Linked DNA regions of Macaca mulatta. The protein of the gene in region 7 interacts with the protein of the main gene of each other region in a pairwise test. Links are inferred from orthologs where the notes say so. Each region holds a gene or a part of one and is shown on either strand. Other genes may lie near its edges.

Region 1 (3,500 bases), on a different chromosome or scaffold from region 7:
TCACCACTAACACAAGTTTTCTATAAATATTTGGTAAATACATACATGCTAGGTACTGTATATGCATTGGGATATGGCAACAAGACAGACACAGATTTAACTACAATTATAATAAGTGGTACAAAGTGCTATGGTCATAGCAATAACCTTAATAAAAGGTTATCAGATCCATTATAATTAAGCTAGAATATGGAGTCTAATTACATGGAGCTTTGGATTTCAAAAAGAATGTTAAAAGACTAAAGAGCAAAGGCTTGGCGCAGTGGCTCATGCCTGTAATCCCAGCACTCTGGGAGGTCGAGGCAGGTGGATCACCTGAAGTCAGGTGTTTGAGACCAGTGTGGTCAACATGGTGAAACCCGGTCTCTACTGAAAATACAAATAATTAGCCGGGCATGGTGGCACGCACTTGTAGTCCCAGCTACTTGGGAGGCTAAGGCAGGAGAATCACTTGAACCCAAGAGGCAGAGGTTGCAGTGAGCTGAGATCACACCATTGCACTCCAGCCTGGGTGACAGAGTGAGACTCTGTCTCAACAACAACAACAACAACAAAAAAAAAGATTATGAGCAACAAAGATACGATAGACCTATATGTGTATTTCAGAATGATTAACTTAGCAACAGCTTAGTACCATCGAAATAAGTTACTAGAGGAAATTTAAGAGAGTACTATAATAATGAAGGCTAGAAGTATAGAAACCCTGAATATGGTTATAGTAGGACTAGAATGGATAAAAAACAGACAAAATGAATACAAGAAACAGAAACAGAATCAACAGGACTTAGTAAATGACTAAATGCAGAAGACAAAGGAGAATGAACTAGTAAAAGGTATCTGAATCTAAATCCTAATAAACTCAAAACGTGTAGCACAAAATGAAGTAGACTATGTAAGAAACGATATCCAAAAGGAAGTCTAAAATTTCTGCGAAGTGAGGTTCAATGCTGTTGTATATTTTTGAGTTAGCCACAAACAGGAAAGCTTATATTAATATGTAAAGTATGGTTTTATATAATTCAAAATTAATTACACTGTACATACCCCCTGAAGTGGTGCACCAGAAACCACGGCCACATTTGCACGTATTTCTTCTTCATTTAAACTCAGCCCCATGTATTGAGACAGCTCCGGATATAGTTTGGGATAGAGATCTAATAAGTAAATGAATGAATGAATAAATTAAAAAGTACTTACAGAATACACAAAATGAAAACTTCTTTTATTATGGGCTTCTGTGTATTAACGAAATTATACTTAAGTTATAAAATCTAGAATGAATTTAAAGTAGCAATTTGGAAAGGCATCTCCCCATCTCTGTAACCATTAGAAATGGAAAATACAGAAAATGTTTAAAATTCATAAAATATGAAGACATCTGAACTGAAACAACCAGATTCCTAAACACTCAAAAGTAGAAATAACTTTTCCAAATAAACTATCTTGCCTTTCCTGTTTCTTAAAATAAACCTACTTGATTAGGAATTTAGTAAGAATACCACTTACCAATTCAGAACAACTGACCAAAATATCTATTTGTCAAGTCAGCTACTTTATAACTCATTCTGTAAACAGGGCTATGGAATGATTCTTCTGAACAATCTTTTTTTGAAAGCTTGTAAATTTATTTAGTGTCTTATCAATTTTAGTAATTTTAACTACATTCCAATGAAATCCTGCAAATGGTATTTTTAAATATTAACATTATTTCACCTGGTAGTAGTTATATACTATTTCCAAAAGCTCTTTTCTACATGAGACTTAAATTATCTGTGACTTAAAATGAATTTTCTATGAGGCAAGGTTATAAACTGTTGTAAGACAAAATGACAGGCCACAAAATTTATTTAACACTTATTTTGTATCTTAAGTCATAGTATTTAGAAGCTCTGTCCTGAATCCCTCTGAACCTTGAAGAAAAAGGGACTAAAGACAGGATACAGAGAATGAATAAAGGCCTCAATATTTAAGAGGCTTCCCAAAGAGGAGGTGGTTGGAAATTTCAGAAGCTCCCATAGGAAAGACAGAAGACAATTCAGAAAGTTCAACAGCAGCAGCATGATGATAGTTCTTAAATGTGAATTCAAAAAGTTCTTACATGTGAATTCATATATATAATTCATTCATAAATGAATCAGCCACATGTTAGGGATTTACAAGTCAGTCTAAAATCAATTTTCATTAAGCCATGAAATACATCCCCATATCCACAGTTCACTATCTTAATTAGAAAAAGGGTTATTTTTTGAAGTAAACTTTTTTTTCTTATTCATAACTATTTGAGCTTAACTACCAATTTTATGCAGCCTGTCAAGAAAAAAAAATCTTGGATTCCTTATTTGAGCAAAAGAAGATAACAATATTTCTGTTCACAGAGAATGAACTCAAAGTATAAACCTACTTCGATCTTGAGAGATAGGAGCAGAAGCTTCTGACAAAATTGCTGGATTGGCAGGGTTTGCAGAAAAAGCAGTTTGAGCCTGAAAAAGAAAAGAAGAAAATTGTAACAATACACTATACTTACTTTATATACTTATATAATTTATAAGCTAAATCCAGTACTTCCAAAAAGAAACTAAAACAATGAAGATTTATGTAAGAAAGTTTAATTTCAAACATGTCAGCAATACATTTTTTCAAAGGAAATCTGCAAATCAAAATTGTATTTGATATTCTAAATACTTTTAAGGCTATCACAAAAAAATTGTAGAAGTACTATTCTACATGTCTTATAACCAGTATTTCATAGTGCTGCCACAATAAATATTTTCAAAGTGCATTCTAAAATGGATAAATTTTACATTTCATTATTCTTTTACTAATTAGTCCAAGTAAAATAAAATATTTGCATAAGAAAAAAGCATACCCATATTCATATAAAAAGTCACATATCAGAAAAACACCTAAAAAATAAATACTAAGTTGCTAATATTTACCATTTTAGCATGTCCCACTGAAATCATCTTCATCACAGCAAGTATAGCAAGGGATTTATGCTAAACACTTTTAGAATATCAGAAATTATGAAAATAGCACAGTTTATCACTGACATAAATGGATGATGACAAGGTAATATAATTTGTAACTGTTAAACTTGCCAAAATCATTCTGACACACTCTGACACTCTAGCATTTATCAGTGCTATTCATGACCAAGTATCCACTTCTCAGGGCTGCCTCGATGGCCTATATCATATGAAGTATTTTCACTGATGGAAATACTTTATCCTTTACCATTAGATCTACTTTCTGAAATAGCTATATGTCATTAGAGACAAGTTTGGTAATAAGTTGTATGACCAATCTCTACCAACTTTTTACTTTATTGGAAACGTGTAATTTTAAAAATGAAGTTCATAGTAGTATCTCAACCTAGCCCTAAAATCAATGTCAAGAGTAGTCCCAAAGATGCTTTGGAGATATGAAAGCTTAGGTTAAATAAGTAAAGCCTACAAAAGCTTTGAATGGTACTAAAGTCATATGTTCTGATATACTTGTTG
Region 2 (4,101 bases), on a different chromosome or scaffold from region 7:
AACACGATATGTTAAGCATGAGTATCATAGTAAACAGTTTTATGGCATACAATGTATATGCAGTATTTAAATCATAATATGCAGTATTTAAATCATAATACACGTTAAAGCAATATAGTTATATAACCCACGCAGCACAACATGTGTATACTTTACCATGTTACAACCATATGACCACACAATTAACTCAAAATGCTGAATTTCATACTCGTTTTAGGCACACATTAGTAACAGCAAGATGTGGTATGCATGAAAACCCAGGCGCTGAGTTCTTAAGGAGAGGGAATCAATAGCAGAACATCCCAGCCCCGAGGCTACCCACCTGCCATTATAGTCTCTGGAACGTCCATATCCATATCCATACCCTCCAGGTCTACTGTCATAATACCTGCCACTCCCATAGCCCTGGTCCCCACCACCTAGAACAGAAAAATATTTAAATGGCAGTTGTCCTCACCTAGGCAACTCTCCCTCTCACCCCATGATCAAAACTATCACTGCACTCACCTCTAGAGTAGCTGCGACCACGCCCATGGGCCCCAAAGCCACCTCCTCTGGTTCCCCGAGCAGACTTGCCTGCATGATCCACACGGATCTGACGACCATCCAGGGACTAAGTGTGGGAGACACAAGGAGGATAGGTTGGCAGTCAGGGCAGTGGTGAGGGAAGAGCAGGCAAGGGCAAGTGGGCAAAAGAGGCCAAAAATTCCTGCTGGGCACCAGGTTCTGGGTGCCATGTTCCAGAATAAGCTCCTTTACCCCAGAATGGTTTCATCAGGAGCTATAGAATCCCACACAAAATGACCTGAATGCACCATGTTCCCCTTGCTACTACTTACATCTTGACTGAACTCAGGCTGAGTTCTCCTCCCCACTCCTCTAAGCTGCCCGACTATCAGGGCTAGACAGACACCTCTCTTGGTTTGAGGCTTCAGAGTCCATGTCAGAAGACTCACGAGGTCCTCTCCGGGCCAGGCCCACAGGTCTGCAGACTCTACTACCTAAGCCCAAGGCAGGTCAACCATCCACAGGTGGCTTCTCGGCCTCATGCAGGACCAGTCGTCGCCTCCCAGGCGGCCAGGCTCTGTCTGCCGCTGCCCTCCACCCCCTAGAACAAAAGGCAGTCATGCTCCTGTGAGTGGGCACTGCGGGGCTTGGTGGCCACGCTGCCCCGAGCAGACACAGAAGGAAAAACAAAAAGAATGAAGGAAGCCGCAGATGGGGACAAGGTCCCTCTGCAGATAGGAGGCCCCACCTCTCCGTTCATGGCTCTCATGGCAACTGAAGCATGCTCTGGGTTGGTGAAGGTGATGAAACCAAAACCCCTGGACCGCTGAGTCTCCCGGTCCTTGACAACGACCACTATGAGAGGGAGAGAAGAAGGAGCGATGTGGACCAGTCAGCACCACAAAGGTTAAGTAGCAAAGGGTGGTCCGAAAAGGAGATGGCGGTAGGTAGGGAAAACGGAGCCCTCCCACCAATCCCGAAGACGGTTCCCCTCATCCTTAGTGGACACCATAGGCTTAAGAAGAAAAAGAACATGGAAGCGTGGGTCCTAACTTTTCGGTTAATACTCCTTGAAATACAAGGATCCCAGATTTTCTCTCACCAACCCCCATTGAGAGTCTGGCCCGTCTCACCCTCAGAGATAGGTCCGAAACTGCTGAAGTGGTCTTCCAGCGCTTGCTCGTCGGTGTTAAAGTTGAGACCTCCCACGAAAAGCTTTCCTTCTTCAGAGGACATGGCAGTTCAAGTCCTGTGGGAAGAACATGAAGAATGGTGGCAGGAAGGAGGAACAAAATGGAGACGTGAGAAAATAGCGAGACAGAAGGCGGAGAGAAGTACAGAAAATAAAAAAGAGGAACAAAATGGCTGGGCGCGGTGGGTCACGCCTGTAATCCCAGCACTTTGGGAGGCCGAGGCGGGCGGATCACAAGGTCAGGAGACTGAGACCATCCTGGCTAACACGGTGACAGCCCGTCTCTACTAAAAATACAAAAAAATTAGCCGGGTGTGGTGGCGGGCGCCTGTACCCCAGCTACTCGGGAGGCTGAGGCAGGAAAATGGCGTGAACCCAGGAGGCACAGCTTGCAGTGAGCCGAGAGAGCTTGCAGTGAGCCGAGATCGCGCCACTGCACTCCAGCATGGGTGACGGAGCGAGACTCCGTCTCAAAAAAAAAAAAAAAAAAAAAAAAGAGGAACAAAACATGGGTAACTACAGAGAAACTGGGAAAGAAGGCCAATAAGGTAGTAATCTGCGGAGCTGGCTCAGCGCAGCCACCATTAGGGGGCCACTATTGCGCATGCTCACACATCCACAGCCGCCACGCCCGTCATTTTGTGTCACTGCGCAAGCCCAGAACATCCCTGCGTTCCCTCAACGCCGGCAGAACAAGATGGCGGCGGCCACGTGGGATAAGGAAAGCAAGTGTCGGCTGTCGCGTGGTCACTGCCACCACCGACGCCACCCAGTCCCTCCCGAGGGGCCTCACACTCAGATACAGCGCGCTGGCCTCCCACTAACCGAAATGTTCACCTCCCAGCACGGGACCCGCCCGCCCCAGAGAAAGCCAAGCCTACGTGTCAGCGGCCATTACTCTCCCCACTCACTATCCCCCGGTCTCGGCCGGCGCGGCGCGTGTGTGGCGAGGAGCCGCCGTTCCGCAGGCCATACGCAACTTACCTGGAAATTAAAACGTAAAAAACCCGGACAGACGGCGAGCTTGGAGGAGCACAGAAAACAAGGACTGGTCTGCGCGGGAAGACGATTGATAAAGAGTACGTAGCAAGAACGTCCCGGAACGTTCCCCTTGCGCGTCCCGGCGTGCATGCTGATTGGCTGAGGCTAGCAGGGGCGGAGTGGCGGGGGAGAGGAAGGGACAGCAAAGTGAAGGGAGCAGTATTCTCTGCGAAATGGGGTGTTTCCGGAAATGGGGTCGACTTTTGCACAGATGGTGCACCCTAAACGTCAGCATCCCCCCCACAACCGGCTGAGCTGCCTTGATCTCTCCCACACAGGAACCTTCTCACTCTCATACTACTTGCCGTCCCTGACATCATCCTCCCGTCCTTGCCATCGTTTCCCCCGCTGGATCTGATGTCTTCCTCACCATCGCAATCGTCTTCCTCTAGGTCCCTGCCATTCTCTGATGTCAACCTCCTTCACCTTCTAGTTCTTTAACCTCGTACCCTTTAAAGGCCCGACATTTTATCCCCCACGTCACTGATGTCATCACCCTTCACAGTCCGTGATGTCAGACCGTACGTTTTAAGGTTTGACACTGACTCCTACTCTTTCTCCTCTGTGCTCAACATCTAGCCGCCTGTCATGCGACGTTTTTCCCTGGCGTCATTCCTTCTCATCTCTGACTTCAGCCCTCACCCTTGTCTGACTGCCCCCGTGAAGCCAGCCCCTTAATTTTCCCACCAATAGACTGCCTGAGATGGCTTTTACAAAACAGGATGCTGGCCGGGTGCGGTGGCTCACGCCTGTAATCCCAGCACTTTGGGAGGCTGAAACGAGCGGATCACGAGGTCAGGAGTTCGAGACCAGCCTGGCCAACATGGTGAAACCCCGTCTCTACTAAAAATACAAAAAAAAAAAACCCCAAAAAACAACAACAACAAAAAAACAGCCGGGTGTGGTGGCACGCGCCTGTAGTCCCACCTACTCGGGAGGCTGAGGCGGGAAAATCGCTGGAACCCGGGAGGTGGAGGTTGCAGAGAGCCAAGACCACACCATTGCACTCCAGCCTCAGTCAAAACAAAACAAAACAGGATGCTGCGATCTTCAGAGGTTGTAAATCCCAGTCCTTAGAGCAATTTTTGCTCTCTTCGAAAGTAACTGAGCCCTTGCCGGGCGTGGTGGTGCACGCCTGTAATCCCAGCACTTTGGGAGGCCGAGGCAGGCAGATCACAAGGTCAGGAGTTTGAGACCACCCTGGCCAATATGGTGAAACCCTGTCTCTACTAATACAAATAATAATAATAATAATTATTAGCCGGGCGTGGTGGTAGGCACTTGTCCCAGCTACTCGGGAGGCTGAGGCAGGATAATCACTTGAACCCGGGAGGCAGAGGTTGCAGTGAGCTGAGATCATG
Region 3 (4,232 bases), about 29 Mb from region 7:
AATCATACACTATGTCTTTACTGAACATAAAGTCCTCAAAGTTCATCCATGTTGTAGTATGTGACAGCATTTTCTTCCTTTTAAGGCTGAATAATAATCCATTGTATGTACACGCCACATTTTGTTTATTCTTCCATCAGTGGACATGTGGGTTGCTTCCACCTCTTTGTTATTGTGAATACTGCTGCTATGAACATGAGTCTGCAAATATGTCAAGACCCTGCTTTCCATTTTTTTTTTTTTTTTTGCTATATACCTGGAAGCAGGAGTTCTGGGGTAGTTCTATTTTTAATTTTTTTTGTCATACATACATATTTTTAATTGCTTAAGAGGAATCTCTTCATATTGTTTTATATAGTAGTTTCACCATTTTATAATCCCAGCAGCAGTACACAAGAGTTCTAATTTCAAAGTGGTATATTTTTATCTTGCATTTACTTGACGATTAATGATATTGAGTACTTGTTGATTTAGACTTTTAGTTCATTTAGAGCTCCATTTTAATAAGGTGTCCTTTTTTTTTTTTTTTTGGTCGATTTTTCAAATGGCTTGTCTGGAAGAATCCTTTATATATTATAGATAAAGGATCTTTATTGGTTATATTTGTTGCAAATATCTTCTATTGTATAGCTTCCTGTTAATTTCTTAATGGCGTTATTTGGCAAGTTTATATTTTCTTTTCTTTCTTTTTTTTTTTTTTTTGAGACAGTCTCACTCTGTCACCCAGGCTAGAGTGCAGTGGTGCGATCTCGGCTAACTGCAACGTCCGCCTCCAGGTTCAAGCGATTCTCCTGCCTCAGCCTCCTGAGTAGCTGGGATTACAGGCGCACACCACCACATCCGGCTAATTTTTGTATTTTTTAGTAGAGATAGGGGTTTCACTATGTTGGTCAGTCCAGTCTTGAACTCCTGACCTTGTGATTCGCCCGCCTCAGCCTCCCAAAGTGCTGGGATTACAGGTGTGAGCCACTGCACCTGGCCGCAAATTTATATTTTCTAATGGAGTTCAATTTATCAATCTTTCCTTTATGGTTAGTGTGTATACCTACATTTCTTATCTGTTTAAGAACTCTTAGCTACTCTTAGAAAATACATTTACTTTCTAGAATAATTATTCTCTTACCTTTTATACTTAGATCTACAGTCCATTATACAATATGATTATGACTACAAGGTGAAATTCCATTTTTTAACATGAATATCCAATTGATCCAATATCATTTATTGAAAAGACCAACTTTCCAGTTCCATCTTCATCATAAATGAAGTGTCCACACATGTATGGGCCTGTTATTGGACTCTTCGGGACATAAGTCCTGTTGACTTATGTGTATCATTGTGTCCAAACCGCATCGTTGTAACTACTGTAGCTTTATAGTAAGTCTTTTTTCCTTCTTGTTTTTATAGACAGGATCTCACTATGTTGCCCAAGTGGCCTCAAAAACTCCTGGGCTCAAAGGATCCTCCTACCTCAGCCTCCTGAGTAGCTGGGACCACAGGCATATGCCACCATGCCCAGCTTACAAATCTTGATATTCATAGTACGCCCTCCCACTTCAAGATTGTTTTGACAGTCTCTCACCTTGATATTTTGCATTTCCCTATAATACTGTGTATTTCCACAAAAACATTATGGGTGTTCTGACTTGGAATGCATGAAGTCTATACATCAATTTGGGAAGAAGTGACATTTTTACAACATTGAGTTTTTCAGTCAGCAAATATACAACTTCTCTCCATTCATTTAGGGATGGAATCCCTGACCTTTTGATTTTTAAGTCCTTCCTGGGTTTTATCCCCTCCCTTGCCGTCTTATCCGCGACCTAATACAAGGATCAGGGCCCCTTCCTCCTCACCTGACTTAGGGTCGCCAGGTTTTCCATTGGCCATGGGGGGAGGGCCCAGAAGGCTGGGTGGTCCTAAGAGCAGACATGAAAATATGGTCATCAGAATGGATTAAAGGACTGATGATTCTGTTCTTAGGCGTTTTTCTTGTATTACTCATTTCTTAATTCAACCAGTAAAGTCAGGTATATTTTCAGCAGTCTTAGGAGTTCTCACCCCATCTATCTGCTCTTTTTTCTGCAAAGCTGTTTCAGGGTTTGCAAAAAGTAGATATTCAATCAAAGGCGATAATGCAGGAAAAGATACAACTTTTTCTTTTCCTCACCGTACCGTCGCTATCCAAAACAACCTAAGTGTCTCCAGACATAAACCAATCCCTCACCTTAACTGCTGGCCAGTCAGTTCTCTTCTCCTTTCACTCGGCCAGAGGACTAGTTTAGAGAAAGCGGCACCTGTACCTTTTCAATCAAAATCCGGATACAAACTGTCAACCCAGTCATCGCAATCTGCAACATCTCTACTGCCCCTTTCCCCTACTGTTCTGCGGCTGCGCAAAAGAGCTCTTTACTCTCTCCACCCCCGCGTTCCAGAAAGGTTTGGGGCCGTATTGAGGTTGACGGTTCCAGTAAGAGAACTCCTGGTTCAAGGCTCCATTTGGGACAGCCCTGCTGCCATCCCTACCCAGCGCGTGCGCCCTTCCTCCTTCCGTTAGAGCCCCTTCCTTCGCACCTTATTAGCCCCTAGCCCTTCGCCCGGACGGGCTTGACAGGCATGTGCACATCCCTCCCTGACCCCTCACCGATGGGACTCCCATCCTCCTCATCTCCAGTCTCTTCCCGCTCGGGCAGTGGGGGTTGCTGCTGTGTCGGTGGCTGGTGCTGATTCTGCTTCTTTCGTTTCGGCATCGTGGCTGCGGCAATGGCTGCAGCGGGATTTGGAGGGTAGTGAGGAAGGGGCACGCGGGGATTCTGTTTCCGCTTCCGGGGGGTCGGTGGGCAGCAATGCCCAAGCTCCCACCATTCCACTTCCGGAAGGTTGCGGAGAACATCTGTGGCGGCCGCATTCTGGAGTAAACTGCCTCTCTCCGTCTCTGCCAGGCATGGCGGCAACCTCACACCTTCCTTTTGCTGCGTTTCTATAAATGCTTTGAAAAAATTCCGCTCTTCTTCCCTCGCTGGAAAACACCACAACCAGCTCCTCAGAGTGTGTCACAGAGTCAACAGGCTCTCGGGCCAGAAGGCCTGAGAAGAGGACTGTCGCACCGTAAGATCGCCACATCCGGTCCTCGGTTACTATGGTAACAGCTGCAGGCACAACTTTGTGCCCTTTGACCTCCCTCCAAAAGCCCTTGTCCCGCCTGGGTTTCGCTTCTCGCCCGCTTTTGCACTTCTGATCTGTAAACCTGCTCCTTATCATCGTTCCCACAAGGAATTTGGGTCCCAGCAGGTCGGCAGCCAGGACTCTTCAGACCGCCGCCCTCCCCTAAAGACCTCTGACCGTGCCCCCGGTGTAGCCCAGCAACCTGGCTTCATTCCCGGGACGCACCGTCTCGGCTTTCCACTAAGGTCAAGCCTGGGGGTTGGGAGTGTAGCCTCAGCGTGTCCACTCCTCCTCTCCCCTAGGTAATAGGCCCCGCCCTCCGCTCCGCCGCCCCCTCCAGGTGAGTGGTAGCTTCTCCCGGGAGCGCAAGGTAGTGATGACACGCGCTCCCCCCTCCTCCGAACGCGAGTTGGTAGCGTCCGTGACGAAGTTAGCCTGGTCCTCCCACGCGCGCCTCCTTCCTCGCCGCCGGGGTGCTCTCTCGGTGCTACTGGCTCTCACGTGCCAGTAGCCCACCCCGCATCATCCTTTCGCCTCGCTCCTGGAGGGAAGTGACTGTGTATCTCCCCTGTCCGCCTTCCATCGCCGCCGCGGCGGCAATTCGGTCGGGCCCGCCCGCTGACGTCACCTGCTAGCTCCGCCTCCTCTAGGGTCCCGGGCCCCTGCGGCGGGGACTGCCCCGGGGGGCAGTCAGTTGAGGCGGCAGGAGCTCGGCGGAGGGCGGGCCAGGTGACTGGTCCGGGCCATGCCGAGGAAGAAGCCCTTTAGCGTGAAGCAGAAGAAGAAGCAGTTGCAGGACAAACGGGAGCGGAAGAGAGGTCAGTGCGGGAGCTGGAGGAGGAGGCGGGGCTCGGGCTTCCGCACAGCTGGAAGGAGGGGTGTGCCCGCTGCACCTCTGGGGGTCGTGGGAGGGTGTCGTGGGACCGCGCCAACCCTCGCGGCCTATCGCGGAGGGGATCTCCCACCCCACCCCCCCACATCTGGAAGGGGTGGGGAAGGATGGAGAGTTGGGGGAGGGGAATCCCTCCAGCTCGCACGGGGCGCCGTCCCTACTGCTCCCTGGAGGA
Region 4 (4,150 bases), on a different chromosome or scaffold from region 7:
ATCACAGGTGTGAGCCACTGTGCCTGGCTAGAAGCTCATTTTATAAGGCCCTCTCCAATGTTGTCTGTATGTTTATTTGTGCAGGGACTATTATTAAAAAAAGAAAAAAAAAGCATAAAACTATTTCTAGATTGGGGTGAAATTAATATTTTTAATTTAATGCTCTGGCAATGGCTATTACTAGGTTCCAACCAGGGAAGTTGGTCATTCCCCAACACTGCAATGTTTGTTGAACATCTACAACCAACTGGAAATGTTAAAAGCATTTGGTTAAGTATCATCAACAGGATGATATAAAATACCCTTCTCAATCCATAACAGAAACAGGATCTACTCTCTGTTCTGCAATGTGGCTTGTTTGTTGTTACTGTTTTTTACGCCTGTGGAAACACACAGACATTATCCAGAGATCACCAAAGATCACCAAGTATCATGGAGACAACATAGAGGGGGAGGATTTTACTAGTGGAGTCAGTGTCTTTTAAAGTTACAAATTCCACACTCCTGGTAAGTTACCAGGAAACACACACGGTAGCGGTAGCGCTCTTTGGAAACTGGATACACACCATATCTCCTTTCAAGCCACCTGACAATTAAAGCTTCCAATGGGAACCCTGTACTTCTGACCATTAGATGCAACTCTCATCCACCTGTATTCCATTCTGTACTGGGACAATAAGATAGGACTGCCCAAGATCTGTGGCACGGTTAGATGAAGGCTAATGAAAGTAGACATTATACGGAACTGCTGAAGTTCTGCAGGATTTGTTTATGTTCTTCAGGATACTCACACACACACACAAATCAACCAACAGAGTATTTACCTGCAAGCTGCAGGCATTCCTTAGAGAGAACAGACAGAATACCAATTTACATGCCCACTTCCGCAGAGAAACCAACGAATGGCCAGAGAATCCACACGACAGCTGTGGTATAGCTGAAGCTATGGTATTGGACTCAACTCTGCTGCACAGGCAGAGTGGACAAAGACTCCAACTGAATGAAACCAGCAGCATTACTTTGCCCTTAGGGTCTGCTTAAACTCTGCAGAGTGGGCATGCGTAATCTATTCCCAGTAGCTAGAACTTCACATCCAAGTAGGAGTATATACATGAAACACACAGTGGACATTCTTTCCTATAAGTAGGTAACAAAATACAGGTGTTTTTGTCCAAAAGCAGGACAGCTCTATGTTATGCGTAATGCTCAGTTAGCTGAGTTCACAAGGTGACCAGTGGAGCTACTAGTACAGATGAGGATTCACTGTATGCAGCACTGTCCAGTTCACTGTAGGAAATGCAGTTTACTGTGGTACGTAGTTTAGGTATGTTTCTGGGGAAAATTGGCTTTTTTACTTAGAGGCAAGGCAAAATCCATTAATCCATTTGGGCCCTGAAGAGACATCAGATATGAAATATATCATTTGTATGAAATATATCATATCTGTCTGCCCTCTACACAAAACTGCATCCATTTGTGTGCTGTTATGGGGCCAGAACAACTGAATAGGATATCTTTATTTATGGTGTAAATGGTACCATTAATAAAGCTCTTCTTTGAGAGAAGGGACCAATTTAATATGTATCTTGAGGGTACGCACCAGGATTATCTCTCTTGTATACACTGGAAGGAAGAATACATTGGGAAAACACCCTCGATTTCCGTGAAAGCTAAGAAAAAGGGAGACTTTCGAGAGCTGGAGTGTTTTGCCCTTTTTATTTCCCCTCAAACAGGTAACCCAAGTATGTGAGCAAACAGGGGATCTGCAGCACAGGCACAGCGGTAATCTCTCAAGCAGCACTTTCCGTAAACCTGGGTTAACATCTGGACCGGCAGCCATTTGGAATGAAGAGTCGAATCTCTGCTGCCCACTGCAGTGCAGCATGGCATACACCAATGACTCTGGGGCACTCCTTCTGCTCTGGAGGCTCCCACTGACACGTGAGCTGGGGACAGACAGAGGTTTATCCTCTTCCAATTGCCTGCAACTCATGTTGCAAGCTGAACTTGCTGGATTTGCCACCGAAAACACAAAGCTTCCTCTGTATCTCCTGATGTATGTTTAAAAAAAGCAGCAAGGCCCTTCACACAGGGTTCATGTTCTTATTGTTTGCTTGAGCGTTTCACTTGTTGGGGGGAAGAAAAGACCTTTGGTGTACGAAGCTGGGCTTAACTCCCCAGAGCCCAACTCTCCCAAGGTAACTCACGGCTTCAGGGTACTTTACCTTCGTGTGGGGCTGGGTCTTGATGGAGCCGTATTCATATTTCTTCCTTCCGCTGCCTTATTAATATCTGAAAAGAATAATCAACCCATCTGTTCAATGCTACGGAATAAAAACAAGATCATCAGCACATTTCAAATGAAAGCAACAACAACAAAAAACTACAATGACAACCAGATGGTGTAAGAAAAGCCATTCAGCAGAGACACACTGTCACTTGGGCAATTTTTATTATTGAGTTAAGGTAGTACATTGTCACAGCTTGGTAAGAAATGTCCCTTCGTTTTCTAGTTAACACATAATTTGTCTTAAACTAATTACGTCAATGCTTTAATACCCTGCCAAGCCCTAGACCTGACACGTTCCCTCCAAGGGGAGGAAAAGGTTGTTTTCTAAACTCTTAGAAAGCAGTTGTAAGATTCTTTTTGTGAGGAAGAAAAGTGGGGGGGGAAGATAAGGAGAGCTTAAAAAACAAAAGGGCAAAGGTAAATAATTCTATTTTATGTTACTAAGAAGTAATAGCTGGATTTCAGTGTCTTAAAACTTCCAATATCCCATGAAGCAGGGCCTCCTGTTAGTGTGTCTTGTGTTGAATTCCATTGGATAGAATCTTCAGGAATAACATGCAGGAAAGAAAACTGTTATTACTATTTTTAATAAACAAAGAATATGACCTGTTAATATCTACAACCTTCACAGACAGATAACCAAGAATACAGACTGGCATATGGTATAGTAGAGTTAGGTAATAAAACACTACTGATAAGTTGTTTTCATTAGAGAAGGCTGGCATATAGAACTAGATATGGGAGAAAAGCAGAATCACACAAACTTAAAGAAAAGCAAATTTGTAGAGTTAAAGCCTGCTTTACTAAAAACAAAAAATACCTGCTTTACAAAAATTGAAGTGAATAATAAACACCATGTATTAAGAAATCTATGCCCCAAAATAATACCTGACAATTTTCATATGACTTAAAGCTAAGTAAATACATTACAAATTTCATACTTCAGATGAATGAAGAAATAAAACTGCTTTCTGCTGTATAGTTTGTTCCCCTTTTTCCATATTAAACAATGGTGTATCTAATGACATCAAATGGTATTAAGTACTCACATAATTCGAAATAATAACTATGTATTTAAAAAACCCCAACCAGATTCCTATCACATGAAAGACAACAGCAATAACAAGAAACTTAGAGGTCTGGTACAGATTTTATGCTATGTTGCCAACTTTTGAGTTCCTGTTCAAATGAGAGTAATCTTCAACTCCATTTTAAATCAGAAGTCTCTAATTTGTCTAGAAAAATGGCTTCTGACAAAACTGAAGCTAATATAAAGCTAAATAGTGAAGTATATCTTAAATTGATTCCTACCTTTTCAATTAAGCAGACACAAGATATAATCTATTTAAAAAAAAACTGAAAATATTTTCTATGTAAGACTTGGCCAGTAATATCTGACCATAGCTTTGCTACTGCATGCAGTACTTTCACAATTTACAAGTCTTAAAGTTTATAATGGTCTAAATTACAAATTATACAATGACAGGCCTTATAGGGAATATCTAGCTCTATTATACGTAATTGTGAAAAATACTAGTTCAGGTTTACGACTTACTGAGTCTGTTCCCTTACTGTGTACCACTTTCTAATTATATAGGTTGGCTATGATTCAGAGAGAAATATAATATCTTTGAGTATTTTAAGTAGTTTTCAAGGTGTCTCTGGAATACACTGGGTGTGTATTAAGATTAAAAAATACATATAACGTAATTTCAGCAGGAGTTCATATATTATTAAATGGTCTTGTGAATAAAGAAAACTCACATCTAAACACTGACTAGACTGGGCAAACATTCAGGTGAGAGTACAACGCATACAGTATTACTTTAATTGGTAGGTTTCTATTACCAATAATTTGCC
Region 5 (4,221 bases), on a different chromosome or scaffold from region 7:
GAGGAAGAAGCAGCAAGGGTGTGCCTGCACAGAAAGCAATGAAGAGGCAGCAAGACAGCCATCTGCAAACCATGGAGACAGGCCACAAGACAAGCCAACACTGCTGGTACTTTGATCTTGGACTTCCAGCCTCGAGAACTGTGAGAAAATACATTTCTGTTGTTTAAACCACCCAGTCTGTGGTATTTTGCTATGGCAGTCCTAGCAAACTAATACATCATCCTCAATATTCTTCCTCCTCTCCTTAGTTATGAAGAGAACTCCTAATTTTTAGCTGGGTACATGGCTGCCTACATTACAGACTACATTTTCTAGCTTCCCTTGCAGCTATAGTCAGTCATGTGATTACATTTTAGCCAATAGGAGGTAAGAAGAAATGTCAAGTGTGCCTTCAGGTAAATGTCTTTAAACGGAAAAGTCATGACCTTCTTTTTCCTGCATCCTTTTTGCTGGCTGGAAGGTGGACCTGATAACCGAAGCTTAAGCAGCTTGTGTGGCTCAGAAGGCAGAAGTCACATGCCAAGGATAGATACAGTGTGAGATACAGAATGAGCCACCTTACCACCTCTTCACAGACCATTTCTGAGCTTTCTATGCAAGACATAAATAAACTTGCAGTTTAGTTAGGCCACAATTTTGCAAGTTTACTGTCACCCTTAGTCACACTTAACCCTAACTGATACTGTTAGTTTCTCTTTCTACCTCCTCCTTTTCTACCCTTTCCTCTCTCCTGAAAGGAGAAAGCTCTCTTCACTGACAAGAGCCTCAGGCAGAGTGGATTAACCTAGTAAAAGTTAACAGGAAATGTTGATTATAAGTGACCTCCTGCTAGATTAACCAGGCAGAAAGTAGACAGGTAAAACTGTTACCCATTTTCCTTCTATTCTAAGTCCAATCCCCACTCCTGTCCTAATTAACTATTTAACTTCTTCCAGATGACACTGCTCAAAACCTCCAGTGCTCACAGAAGGAAATCCAAACTTCGAAGCTTGGCACTCAGAGCCCTTCACAATCTAGCCATAATCTACCTCTGCAATTTTTTTAACACTAAAAGCAATACTAAAACCAAAGCAGAATATTTATTGTTTGACCCACACACTGCAGGGATGCCAGCTCCCTGCCTTTACCCATGATGTTTCCCTTCTAGATGCTTTTCTGGTGCCATGACCTAGGGTCTGAAGACAATTGAATTTAAGGCCCAGCTTCATTGCTTCCAAGTGATGTTAACTTGGTTACTGCATCTGTAAAGTGGGAATAATACACTGCCTCACATGCGGGTTCTGAAGTCAGACACAGACTGCATGACATTTGGTCTTGCAAACCATGAAACACTACAGTCTCATAAGGCATGACTGTCCTGAATCTGGCATTAGGGTGCATCTTGGTGCTGGTGTCTCTTGGTTCTGAAGCTGCTAGGTAAGCCCCTTGACCTCAATCTCTAATTCTCATTGAGCCAGCACACTACTAAATGCTTTCCATGCATAACCCCATTCAATCCTTACAAGAGTCTCATGAAACCTGCATTATTATTAACATTCCCACTTTATAGATGAGGAAACAGACCCTGATTTCAACTCAGTTCTGACTTCCCAGTCTAAGCCTCTAGCCTTCCACATAACTCCTCAAGGGCAGAAGCTGTATCCTTCCTTACTTTGTAACTGCCCGTTGAGGATAAGAATTATTATGTGTTCTCTGGATGGGAACCATTCATATCAAAATGCCCCCCACCCCATGCCCGGTGCCCAGTAATTGAGTGGATAACTACTGATCTCTCCAGGGCAGTGTTTCCCGAACAGCGGCCTGGGGACCCCCTGCATCGAATCCCTCTGGGCGCTTGGGTCTTCCAATGCCTCACCTGCTAAATCTTTGTTTCTGAGATGGTGTCTGGTATCTGCCTGTGTAGGAAGCTCCAGAGTGACTTTTTAATTGATATTGAAGTTTGAAAACCACAGTGAGTCCATGAAGATTGCACCACAGATGCCACTCAGAGAGAGTAGTAGCACCTGAGGCCTCCCTTCCCCCAGCCACCACTTCCGCCCCTGAGCTCCAGGCAGAGGCCTCTGGGAGTTTAGATGGCTGAGGCTGACAAAGCTAGCTTCTGGGTTACCCTCAGACCACCTGACGGGAGCCTTTTTCCCCAGAGGCTCTTAGGGGCTGAGTAGAGAACCCCACCGTCCAGCCCCATCCCCCAAGCTTGAGCTGCCCTCTGGATGCCCTGCCAAATCGGGAGTCACCTGACCCAGAAGGAACAGACAGGGGAAGCAGGCAGATGGGTGTCGCTTTGGAGGGGGTGGAAGTATGCATGGTGGGCAGGCCAAGGCTGAGCCTGAGGAGAGTGGAGCTCCCTCTATAAGGCCAAGTCTCCCATGCGGCGAGTTGGGGCACTCCTGGGGACGATGAGTCTGGCGAGAAGAGCTGAGTCGTCAAGCTCAAGTCTTGACCCTATCTCGGAAATGCCTCAGGTTCCCTCGGCAGGCGAGAGGGCGAGGGCTGTGCTTAGCGCGCGGGGTGGGGTCCCGCCGTCCTCTCCCCGAGCCTCGGCTTTTCCGCCCCGGGGCCCCGCGGCAGGCTACGCCCTCTGACCTGCAGGCGGCGCGCCCTGCCCACCCCGCGCGGTCAGCCCCGCAGCATCCTCCTGCTCGCGCCTCTCCCGCCACCTGTCCCGCTCCCTGCCGCGCCCTGGAGCCCGCACCTACCCACGCCGTGCCGCTCCTTGTCAGCTTTACGCCAGGGGGCCATGACTGAGCCGGGGCCTCGCCTCCTCCCGTGGGGAAGCCGGCAGGGGGTAGCTGGGCGCCGCAGGGCCCCACTTCCTTCCTCTTTTCAAACTCCTCTCAGGGCCCGCCCTCTCCTCCCTCCCCGGGGCTCCCCGCTCCCTCCTCCCTCCCGTTGGGCAGGGGCACACTAGAAGGCTGGTGCCCCGTAGGCTGGGATACGCCACCCCACCCCACTTCACGCAAAGCTTGGGGACCACTCCCACCTTGTCTCCTCCCCAGGCGAGGGGGGCAGAGGCCAGTCCCCACCTGGGGCTCCCCAGACCGCCACCGCAAGTGCAGAGAGTTTTCTGATTGCCGTGCCTAGGGGACTGAACAAACCATTTCCTTAAGTCCCCTCAGCGTGAGCTTTGGTGTCAGATCTGGGTTCGAATCCAGACGGGGACAAATGAATTCATTTTTCTAAGCTTCAGTTTTCTCATCTGTGAAATGGGATACTAGTACCTACTTCATATGATTATTCTAAGGGTTACAGAGGCAATGTACACAGCAGGTGACATGGAGGTGGATCGTTTACAGCCGCCTTTTTTTTTTTTTTTTTTTTTTTTGAGATGGAGTTTCTCTCTTGCTGCCCAGTCTGGAGTGCAAACACGATCCCGGCTCACCGCGACCTCCGCCTCCCGAGTTCGAGTGACTCCTCAGCCTCCCGAGTAGCTGGGATTACAGGGTTGCACCACCACGCCCGGCTAACTTTGCATTTTCAGTAGAAATGGGGTTTCTCCATGTTGGTCAGGCTGGTCTCGAACTCCCGACCTCAGGTGATCTGCCAGCCTCAGACTCCCAAAGTGCTGGGATTACAGGCATGAGCCACCGCGCCTGACCCATTTACAGCTTTTTATCGTTTTGGTGCCACAAACCCGTTGGAAAATCTGGTGTAAGCTCTAGAAGTTTTATTCTGAAAATACGTAAATACACTATTTACCAACATCACTGCAAGGTGAAGGGTGCTGTCACAGCCAGCAACGGTGGGCCCCAGGAAAAGAGCCCTAGAGTTAGGCTAATGGAGACATTTCCTCGAAAAATCTCATTTTTTGCTCTGGGAACAGATTCTGTCCAGAAAAAAAATCATGTCTGATCCACAGTGATAAGGCTGAATTTAAGTTTTGCTGAGTTTTCTTTCTTTATTCATGACTCTCATTACCCCTTTCTGCCTTACACTGAGAGTCATTAAGATACATAGGCAGTATCACAGCTGAACTGGAGTGACAAAAAATTATTTCGTTTTACCTGCAGTTATTTTCTGTTTTCTAGCAGCGTAAGTTAGGTAATAATGTCTTGTACAGACAGCAGTGGCATTAGGGTTCCCCCAGATGACCAGAATAGGAGATTATATATACACATACATATATATACATACATATATAAATGCATACATACATATATATATTATACATATACATATATATGTGTGTGTGTGTATGTTATATATATATGAGAGAGAGAGATT
Region 6 (4,223 bases), on a different chromosome or scaffold from region 7:
AAAGGGAGGGTGTTAGGAGTCTTTTAAAATACATCCCACCAAATAAATATTTCAGACAGCTTAACATAAAAGTCTACTGATAAGGGGTTTTGAAACAACCGCCCAATTTGTTTTGTGTACCACATGAGATGCAACTAAGAACAGAGGTCTGTAGCCTTCTGTTGGTATTTAGCTTAAAACTGGCTTTGTGCACTGGACCCCAGGGCCAAGTTAAGTAATGTTTTCTTAGGAAGGAGCTGAAGTTGCTGTTGGCTGCCTCACCGCTCATTTAGAGACATCTTGGTGGTGCTTTTTAGCACAACTTTCGGCGCTGACTGTGCAGCCATCTTCAAATCCCGAGAATCTACAAAGGACAATACGTAAAATGAGCAAATCACAATAGTGACCACATCATTTCTATAAGTGGCAAGGCCCAAGTCAACAATAAATAAAAAGGCCTTATCACTGATGACTTAAGAGCACATGAGGGCACATTTCAAGTGCTTAAATTTCTTTTTCTTTTTTTTTTTTTTTTTTGAGAGAGGGTCTTACTCTGTCACTCAGGCTGGAATGCAGTGGCATGATCTTGGCTGCAGTGGCTCACGGCAGCTGTAATCTCCTGGCCTCAAAGGATGTTCCCACCTTGGCCTCCCAGTGCTGGGATCACAGACATGAGGTGTCATGCCCAGCAAAAGTGCAAAAGTGCTTAAATTTCTATGGCAGTTACCTCACATTACTGTAACTTCAAGGTGGCTGGGCGTGGTGGTTCACCACCTGTAATCCTAACACTTTGGGAGGGTGAGGGCACAGGATGGTTTGAAGCCAGGAGTTAGAGATCAGCTTGGGTAACAAAGTGAGACCGAGTCTCTACTAAGAAAATAAATAAATAAATAAATAGCAGTGCATGGTGGCCAGCACCTGTGGTCCTAGCTACTCAGGGGGAGCTGATGTGGGAGAAGTGCTACAGCCCAGGGGTTGGAGGCTGCAAAGAGCTGTGATGACGCCACTGCACTCCAGCCTGAGAGAGACCCCATCTCTTTAAAACAACCAACCAACCCCAAACAAACTCCAAGGCCCAGAAAATACCCAGGAAATTCTCAAAAACGGCAGAACCCAATTTAGCAATCAAAGTATGGAGTCTGGCCTTTTTTTTTTTTTTTTTTTTTTTTTGAGACGGAATCTCACTCTCTCGCCCAAGCTGGAGTGCAGTGGTGCGATCTCGGTTCACTGCAACCTCTGCCTCCTGGTGCAACCGATTCTCCTGCTTCAGCCTCCTGAGTAGCTGGGACTACAGGCATGTGCCACCACGCCAGGCGAATTGTTTTTGTATTTTTAGTAGAGACGGGGTTTCTCCACGTAGGCTAGGGTGGTCTTGAGCTCCTGACCTCACCCGATCCACCCACCTGGGCCTCCCAAAGTGCTGGGATTACAGGCGTGAGCCACCGCGCCCGGTCGAGTTTGGCTTTTTCTCTAGAGCAGTCATTTTCAACCTTGACTACATATGACTTATCCAAGGAGCTTTCAAAGGGCGCGGTGGCTCACGCCTGTAATCTCAGCACCTTGGGAGGCCAAGGTGGGCGGAATGCTTGAGCCCTAGAGCTCAAGACCAGCCTGGGCGACATGGCAAGACCCCGTTTCCATAAAAATATAAATTAATTAAAAAAATAAAAAATACAGGTATCTGGGCCTAGATCAATTAAACCACAATCTCTAGTAACGAGGTTTGGAAATGAACAATTGTGGGGTGGAGGGAAAGCTACCTAGGTGCTTCTAGCGTGCAGTTAAAGTTGAAAACTACTGATCTAGAGTGAAAATATAGGCAGGGCCGGGCGCGGTGGCTCACGCCTGTTTTCCCAGCACTCTGGGAGGCCGAGACGGGCGGATCACCTGAGGTTGGGAGTTCGAGACCAGCCTGACCATCATGGAGAAACCCCGTCTTTACTAAATATACAAAATTAGCTGGGCGTAGTGGCGCATGGCTGTAATCCCAGCTACTCGGGAGTCTGAGGCAGGAGAATCGCTTGAACTCGGGAGGCGGAAGCTGTGGTGAGCTGAGATCGTGCCACTGCACTCCAGCCTGGGCAAAAAGAGCGACACTCCGTCTCAAAAAAAAAAAAAAAAAAAAAAAAAAGCCTAGTTTAAAAATTGGCTTTCAACTCCAGAATCAAGTAGAGACTTTTGTAACAATAAACTAATGATCTCGGGGAGTGCGTAGGAAAGGTTTTCTAAATTCACCTGGGGAATGAGCTCGCAAAGAGCCCTCCACAAAACTTAACCCTAAAGCCGCCATTAATTTCCAACATTCCTCAAAGTCTTGTATTTCTTAATCTCCCTACCATCCTCAAAGCCCTATCAAGACTTCCACTTTTGCTCAACCCAAGTTTCCTTTTAATCCCTATCAAACCCCAACCTCCATCAGTCCCGCCACCAGGTTCCAGTTCAGCCCCTCCCCCGCCCCTTCGCAGGGGCTCCGCCTCCTCCCCCGGGCCTCCACGCTCCAACACCGTAGCTGTGTCCACATGCCACCACCCCCTTTCCGCGTCCGCCAGCCCCTTCCGCTCCCCAAGACCCCGCCACCCCGCTCCTTCTCCCTACAGAAACTCACCGAAGGAAACAGACGCCAGTGCTCCTCCCGGGGCTGCCACCACGGCTCCGGCAGGCGGGCCGGGGACCGGCCGAACCTGAGTTGACGGTGGAGGGGCTCGGGTTAGCTAGATGGGCGGTTGGTCAGATGCGTAAGCGGTAGTATGCGAGCTCAGTTCGTTGTTGCTGGTTGGCTGTCTAGCCGGCCGATCCGTCTGCTCACCCGGCCTGCCCTTTCTTGCCTTTCGTCTGCAGCGGCCGCCAGCTCCGGCTCGGTGTCCAAAACAAAATGGCCGCCACATGCAGTGCTTGTGGGACCGGCTAAAATGGCGTCTACGCCATTACGTCAGGCGTCAGATCCGCTCACGACTAGAGGGCGTGAAAGATTTGAGCTACGCCTGCGCAGGGATCAGAGGCGGAGCCTTAGGGTGAACTTCAGCAAACTTTACCTTAGCGGTATAAGCAGTGCCCCGCCCCCTGGGGGCGTGACAATGGCCCTATCGGGGCGTGCCGGGACTTCAAGTTCCCGTAGTGGTTAAGCTGCAACCTCCTGGGTTACTAGTTAGTAATCAGGGTCTTAGAGGGGATTTGGGTTCCGAATTCCCTTGCCCCTCTGTTCCTTAGGCAAGGTGCATCGTCTAAAAATCTTTACGCGGACTTGCCTCGTCTTCTTCCGGACAACTGGGCCTGGGGAATTTGCACTGGTTTTCCCCTCATGGCCAGTCGCCCAGTCTGAGAGTTGTAAAGTGCCGTAAATGCTCCCGCCAAGGCCCAGGAGGCCAGTATTGGGAGCACATTCCTCTCCCATCCTGCGCTGGCCAACACCACCGCCCGTCCATGTTTTCCTCTTCACTTCCTCCCCTTCCCAACTTGGCCTAAATACTGTTTAATCCTTCTTGCGGGGGGTGCACCTTTGCGTCCTCGATTGCGCTTCCATGTCCTCCCTCCACACCTGCCATCCGTGTTTATTTTGTGGCAGACCTACATAGGGATTTCTCTTTTCTCGCTTTTTGATTTGTTGTTGTTGTTGTTTTGAGACGGGGTCTGGCTCTGTTGTCCAAGCTGGAGTCAGTGGCGCAATCAATCACGGATCACTGCAGCCTTGACCTCCTGGGCTCAGGTGATCCTCTCACCTCAGCCTCCCGAGTCCTAGGATTATAGGCATGAGCTATGTGTCCTGCTCAATTAAGGGATTTTTCTTTCTTTCTTTCTTTCTTTTTTTTCTTTTTGCAGATGGAGTCTCGCTCTATCACCCAGGCTGGAGTGTAGTGGTACCATCTCGGCTCACTGCAACCTCCGCCTCCCAGGTTCAAGCGATTCTCCTGCCTCAGCCTCCTGAGTAGCTGGAATTACAGGCGCGTGCCACCACGCCCTGCTAATTTTTGTATTTTTAGTAGAGATGGGATTTCACCAGGCTGGTCGCTAACTCCTGACCTCGAGTGATCTGCCCACCTCTGTGTCCCAAAGTGCTGGGACTACAGTCGTGAGCCACCATGCCCGGCCTCAATAAGGGATTTTTCTTTTTTTTTTTTTTTCTTTCTTTTTTTTTTGAGACGGAGTCTCGCGCTGTCGCCCAGGCTGGAGTGCAGTGGCCGGATCTCAGCTCACTGCAAGCTCCGCCTCCCGGGTTTACGCCATTCTCCTGCCTCAGCCTCCGGAGT
Region 7 (4,067 bases):
GCACTGATTTGCATCTATCACCAATCAAAATGCAAAATAAATCATTGTGAAAGCTCATTGGTTTATATTACTGCCTTTATAGATATTAGCTTCCGGAAAATCATTCTGAAGAACTGAATCATCTGTATCATTTTTATTACTCATTCAGGCTTGACACTGTCTGCACAGTACTGACTGAAATGTACTTCAGTATGCACCTTCTCTCCAAATGAATATCTATGTCAGGTTTATTTATAGCCACTGCCTTCAATCAGTGCATTCTCAAGTATAAGAAATAAAATCACCTCAATGATACTCTTCTATAGACATCTGCAACTAAGTGTGGACATCTTGGCAACTGGCCTTTGGAAAGATAATGAAAGATCTATACCATAAAATATACATTAAGATCATTGAGATTCCAAGAACAATCATCTTACACTCTTTAATAAGCACATGTAAAGAGTCCCAAGTACTGAGGTAATCTAAAACTTATGCATCCTTTTGCATAACTCTTTATGTACTCCAAGATTATTATAACCTCCTCCACTCTCTTTTCCTTATGCTGATTTCTCTGAAATTTAGGTACCCTCTTTGTTTCTTACTTAGATGCTTTCCTCTATTCAGGAGCTTTTCCTTCTAATTCTTTACAAAAGCAGGGCATGCTTCCCCCTGCTGGGAAAAAATCAAATTACAAGGAACATCAGAACATGTTCCTAAGTATTATATCAAGAAATCAAGTTCCTAGGAAAGATAAAATGTTAAGGAACCAAGTGCATAGCCTTCTCTGACTGCTTTACCAGACAAAGAAATACTTATGCACTCTGTTAAGAGTTTCTTGTACGCATTTATTTAGCTTGACCGCCTTCAAGTACAATAACTCATATTAATGACTGATGAATTAATCTTTGAGCCACTTGTCTCAAATAGAACTCTAATTAGCGGGTCAGAGAGAACGATCAATTTGTAAGTGTTTTTTTCTTTCACTTTAAAGACATATTATCAGCTACATAAAGAAATTTCTGGAAAATACATTGAAGACTATTCAAAATATATTAAAGATACTGAAGACTGGTAAGACTTGCCTTTTAAATCATTTCAAACAATCTTAAACATCTATTAACTCATTATTTTGCTATTATTTTTATGTAGTTGTCTTTTTTGAGAAAGCAAAAAAGTGCATTTTTATTGACTTTACTTTTCCAGTTTAATTTCTATTTTTTTCATTCAGTAACCAAAGTAGTAGGCATAATTGTATTTCACCTTCCCACTTATCTATAAAACAAGCTTTTTCCCTGAAAACAGTTCAGTTATTTCACATGTTCCATGTTTTGACTATAAATCTTTTTCTAACTGTTTAGCATTTAAACATAAAAAAAAACCTTACACTTTATTGTTAACATAAATAACAATCCATCAATTAAAAATATAGCTAACACCGATTTAAATCATATATTGAGGAGCAGAATTTATTCTTCCTTGGTACAACTAAGTCTCAAAAAAATCTTTTAATACTGAGGAGCTGGGGTAGAGGAAGTTATCCCTTTTAGTTTTTTGCTGTATGTAAGTCCGTAACAACCTTAGCTACAAAACTGCACTGTAACCAATTTGATGATGAAGCAATTCATTATTAATGAAGCATTCATCTAAAAAAATCTGCAGCTGTTTTATAAAAGGCATGTGTAAATAACTACAGATATAGGTGTCTTGAGTATTTAGATGGCATTATTATAACATAAACGGAGTAATTTGGTTAATAAAGTTTGTGTGTCTTTTTTTTTTTTAACCTTTCAAAGCAATGCAAAAGACAAGACATATATGTTCCTCTGGGAACGAAATCTCCTTTAACATTACAGGTACACAAAAGAAAATGCACACTTGGTAAAACAGTTGATCAATTATAGAGCGTTCCCAGGGACCAGTATCTCGCAGAGTACCCAATCATCACACTTCAAATAAATGTATAAGCACTTTAGCCTCTACTTACTACATTAACATACATATAAGAACATGCACAGTTTAATGCATAGGTTAATTCTAACACTTTCCATAGGATAGACTTTGATTAAAGGGCATCAAACATCACTTCCTAAATGCAGTAAAAAATAAAAATAAAAATACTGATCTGTAGCCAAAAAGCTCTTAGAACACTACATTGATCACCATTGACTTCCAAACTGCTTTCCCCTCCCTCAGCGAAGTGAAAATGTCCCTGTAGACCGCGTTACACTTTACGGTTTCTCTATCAACGATCCTAACAGGTCACATCGCCACTGCCATTAGATCTCCGTAGCTTTGGTCTTCTCCAAATTAAGACGTGGAGAAGGAGCACTGCTGTCCGCCCCAAGAACGGGGTCTGTCCGCCCGAGCTCTGAGACGAGCATCTTCAGGGGGACAGTTTCTGCGAAGGCGGCGACAGGAGTCCCTCCCCAACTTCACTCCCCTAATCAAGCCAAGGGTAAAATAGGCAGCCGGCGGTTTGTGCCCATCGGTGGGGGCAAGTCCTACCTTCTGCCAAAAGGCGCGATGCATGCACAAAAGATGGATCCAGGCTATCTTTCTCTGCCATCAGCTCAGGCAAATATTTCTCCTCTTCCATAGCGCGGACTTCGGACTGTCCCCGGGCGAAGCGCGAGGTTCCGCTCGCTCGGACGCAGGGTCGTGGGGCAGCGCCTGGCTCCCGCGCTGCTCCTCCTCTGCGCGGCGAGGGGATCTCCGTGCGTCCTCACTGGCCCATGCACCCAGCACCTGCGACTCCCGCCGTCGGGCTGCGTGGCCCCGCGTCCACACCTGCCCGTCCCTTCCGTCGTCCCTCGCTCGCGCCGAGCCCGGGCTCACACCAGCGGCCTTAACTGGAGAGGCGGGAACAGGGCGCGGCCCACCTCCGCCAACCACTCATTGGTGGTGATGCCAGGAGAGGCGGGGCGCTGGCGAAGGCCGCGGGCCCTCATTGGGCCGTGGTGCACGTCGGGTCGCCTGACTGGCAGGAGGCAGCTGCAGAGGGGAGGGGAGCTCGGAAGATGCAAACGCTTTCTTCTTGCAGCCCAAGCCTTCCCTGGCTATTAGGCATGCCCAGTTCTGTGGAGCTCTCTGTGTCTTCAGCTAAGGTGCAGAGGAGAGGGCGGGAAAAGCGCAGGTTAAACAGAGAGGTCTGAGTCCAAGTGGACAGGGGAGATGGAGATGAGAAGTGAGCCGCTGAGAGGGTGGAAAAGCGCCAGCGAAAGTCTCAGGAAGGTAGATGGGACTTCACCTGCGTCCCTAAGGCACAGGTGTCTCCTTTCCCTCACACAGCTCAGACGCACTACAGTTGTGCAGGAATCAGCAGCGCACTGGGTCTGGAAATATAATGAAGACTGCATGTGATCGGCAGCTGGTATTTCCGATGACCTACATCTCAGATACGCAGTAGGATGTTCATTGATAAACAAATAAAGCGGCTCGGAGAAATATTGTGCAGAAACATTCTTCTGGTGTAGAATCATTGGGATATTGAATTAGTTATGGTAACCTATCTGTCCCTCCTTTCCCCAGACCCTATCTGTGGAAGGCAGGTTGGGAGGGGCTTAATTTAAAAACATATATATATATATATGATTCATTAGTCACAGTTTGTGAAGGAATTGGGAAGACATGTAGAAGAAGAGACTAGAACATAGGTAATCACGTTTGCTCTAATTCTCCCCTTTCTCCTCGTTGGATATGTGCCAGTCTCTTTCACCAGGTACTGTTGCTGAGCTACTTTGTATTATCCCACCTCTATTTAAAGGAAAGTTAAACCCTCATGATATCACCAACTGTGACCAAAAAAAAGCCCCATCCTTCTTTTACCAATGTGGCCATAAATGTAACTTGCATTCCTCAATCGCTAGGAAATAATCTTTCCCCAAGTCTTGGGTTCTCTTTTCATAAGCAGTCATTTCCTGATTCTTTCGCCATTACTTTTGATGTAGAAGAATGAGGGCCAACTTTTCTACAAATAAAATATGCTGAAATTTTTCCAACTTCTCTTACTGAATTTAAATATTTTCCTCTTTAATTAATTTTTAGATAAATTTAGGAGATTATCTTTTATTTATATAATGTTTAAA

The links.
Region 1: the proteins of KHDRBS2 (region 7) and SDCBP interact in binary tests that used the Homo sapiens proteins (3 or more experiments, as listed by UniProt). The two-hybrid records come from large-scale screens. The link is inferred for Macaca mulatta from reciprocal best matches to the Homo sapiens genes KHDRBS2 and SDCBP.
Region 2: the proteins of KHDRBS2 (region 7) and RBM3 interact in binary tests that used the Homo sapiens proteins (3 or more experiments, as listed by UniProt). The link is inferred for Macaca mulatta from reciprocal best matches to the Homo sapiens genes KHDRBS2 and RBM3.
Region 3: the proteins of KHDRBS2 (region 7) and PRR3 interact in binary tests that used the Homo sapiens proteins (3 or more experiments, as listed by UniProt). The two-hybrid records come from large-scale screens. The link is inferred for Macaca mulatta from reciprocal best matches to the Homo sapiens genes KHDRBS2 and PRR3.
Region 4: the proteins of KHDRBS2 (region 7) and NCOA5 interact in a two-hybrid assay, tested with the Homo sapiens proteins (2 studies listed by BioGRID). The two-hybrid records come from large-scale screens. The link is inferred for Macaca mulatta from reciprocal best matches to the Homo sapiens genes KHDRBS2 and NCOA5.
Region 5: the proteins of KHDRBS2 (region 7) and DOCK2 interact in binary tests that used the Homo sapiens proteins (3 or more experiments, as listed by UniProt). The two-hybrid records come from large-scale screens. The link is inferred for Macaca mulatta from reciprocal best matches to the Homo sapiens genes KHDRBS2 and DOCK2.
Region 6: the proteins of KHDRBS2 (region 7) and CHTOP interact in binary tests that used the Homo sapiens proteins (3 or more experiments, as listed by UniProt). The two-hybrid records come from large-scale screens. The link is inferred for Macaca mulatta from reciprocal best matches to the Homo sapiens genes KHDRBS2 and CHTOP.

The regions. Positions count from the first base shown.
Region 1 is NC_133413.1:69,251,366-69,254,865, reverse strand, and holds part of SDCBP (syntenin-1), read right to left. Parts: intron 2,481-3,500; coding exon 2,402-2,480; intron 1,155-2,401; coding exon 1,045-1,154; intron 1-1,044. UniProt on the Homo sapiens protein: Multifunctional adapter protein involved in diverse array of functions including trafficking of transmembrane proteins, neuro and immunomodulation, exosome biogenesis, and tumorigenesis.
Region 2 is NC_133426.1:48,642,341-48,646,441, reverse strand, and holds the start of RBM3 (RNA-binding protein 3), read right to left. Parts: upstream 2,801-4,101; 5' UTR 2,684-2,800; intron 1,757-2,683; 5' UTR 1,744-1,756; coding exon 1,641-1,743; intron 1,363-1,640; coding exon 1,256-1,362; intron 614-1,255; coding exon 508-613; intron 420-507; coding exon 323-419; intron 1-322. UniProt on the Homo sapiens protein: Cold-inducible mRNA binding protein that enhances global protein synthesis at both physiological and mild hypothermic temperatures. Reduces the relative abundance of microRNAs, when overexpressed.
Region 3 is NC_133409.1:152,487,934-152,492,165, forward strand, and holds the start of PRR3 (proline-rich protein 3), read right to left. Parts: upstream 2,801-4,232; 5' UTR 2,751-2,800; coding exon 2,645-2,750; intron 1,920-2,644; coding exon of another isoform or gene 1,857-1,919; intron 1-1,856. Other genes in the region: GNL1 (guanine nucleotide-binding protein-like 1), read left to right, coding at 3,911-3,983.
Region 4 is NC_133415.1:98,882,257-98,886,406, forward strand, and holds the start of NCOA5 (nuclear receptor coactivator 5), read right to left. Parts: upstream 2,801-4,150; 5' UTR 2,264-2,800; coding exon 2,226-2,263; intron 1-2,225. UniProt on the Homo sapiens protein: Nuclear receptor coregulator that can have both coactivator and corepressor functions.
Region 5 is NC_133411.1:178,525,750-178,529,970, reverse strand, and holds the start of DOCK2 (dedicator of cytokinesis protein 2), read right to left. Parts: upstream 2,801-4,221; 5' UTR 2,740-2,800; coding exon 2,697-2,739; intron 1-2,696. UniProt on the Homo sapiens protein: Involved in cytoskeletal rearrangements required for lymphocyte migration in response of chemokines. Activates RAC1 and RAC2, but not CDC42, by functioning as a guanine nucleotide exchange factor (GEF), which exchanges bound GDP for free GTP.
Region 6 is NC_133406.1:113,398,861-113,403,083, forward strand, and holds the start of CHTOP (chromatin target of PRMT1 protein), read right to left. Parts: upstream 2,801-4,223; 5' UTR 2,585-2,800; intron 344-2,584; 5' UTR 327-343; coding exon 262-326; intron 1-261. UniProt on the Homo sapiens protein: Plays an important role in the ligand-dependent activation of estrogen receptor target genes. May play a role in the silencing of fetal globin genes.
Region 7 is NC_133409.1:123,216,504-123,220,570, reverse strand, and holds the start of KHDRBS2 (KH domain-containing, RNA-binding, signal transduction-associated protein 2), read right to left. Parts: upstream 2,801-4,067; 5' UTR 2,579-2,800; coding exon 2,488-2,578; intron 1-2,487. UniProt on the Homo sapiens protein: RNA-binding protein that plays a role in the regulation of alternative splicing and influences mRNA splice site selection and exon inclusion. Binds both poly(A) and poly(U) homopolymers. Phosphorylation by PTK6 inhibits its RNA-binding ability.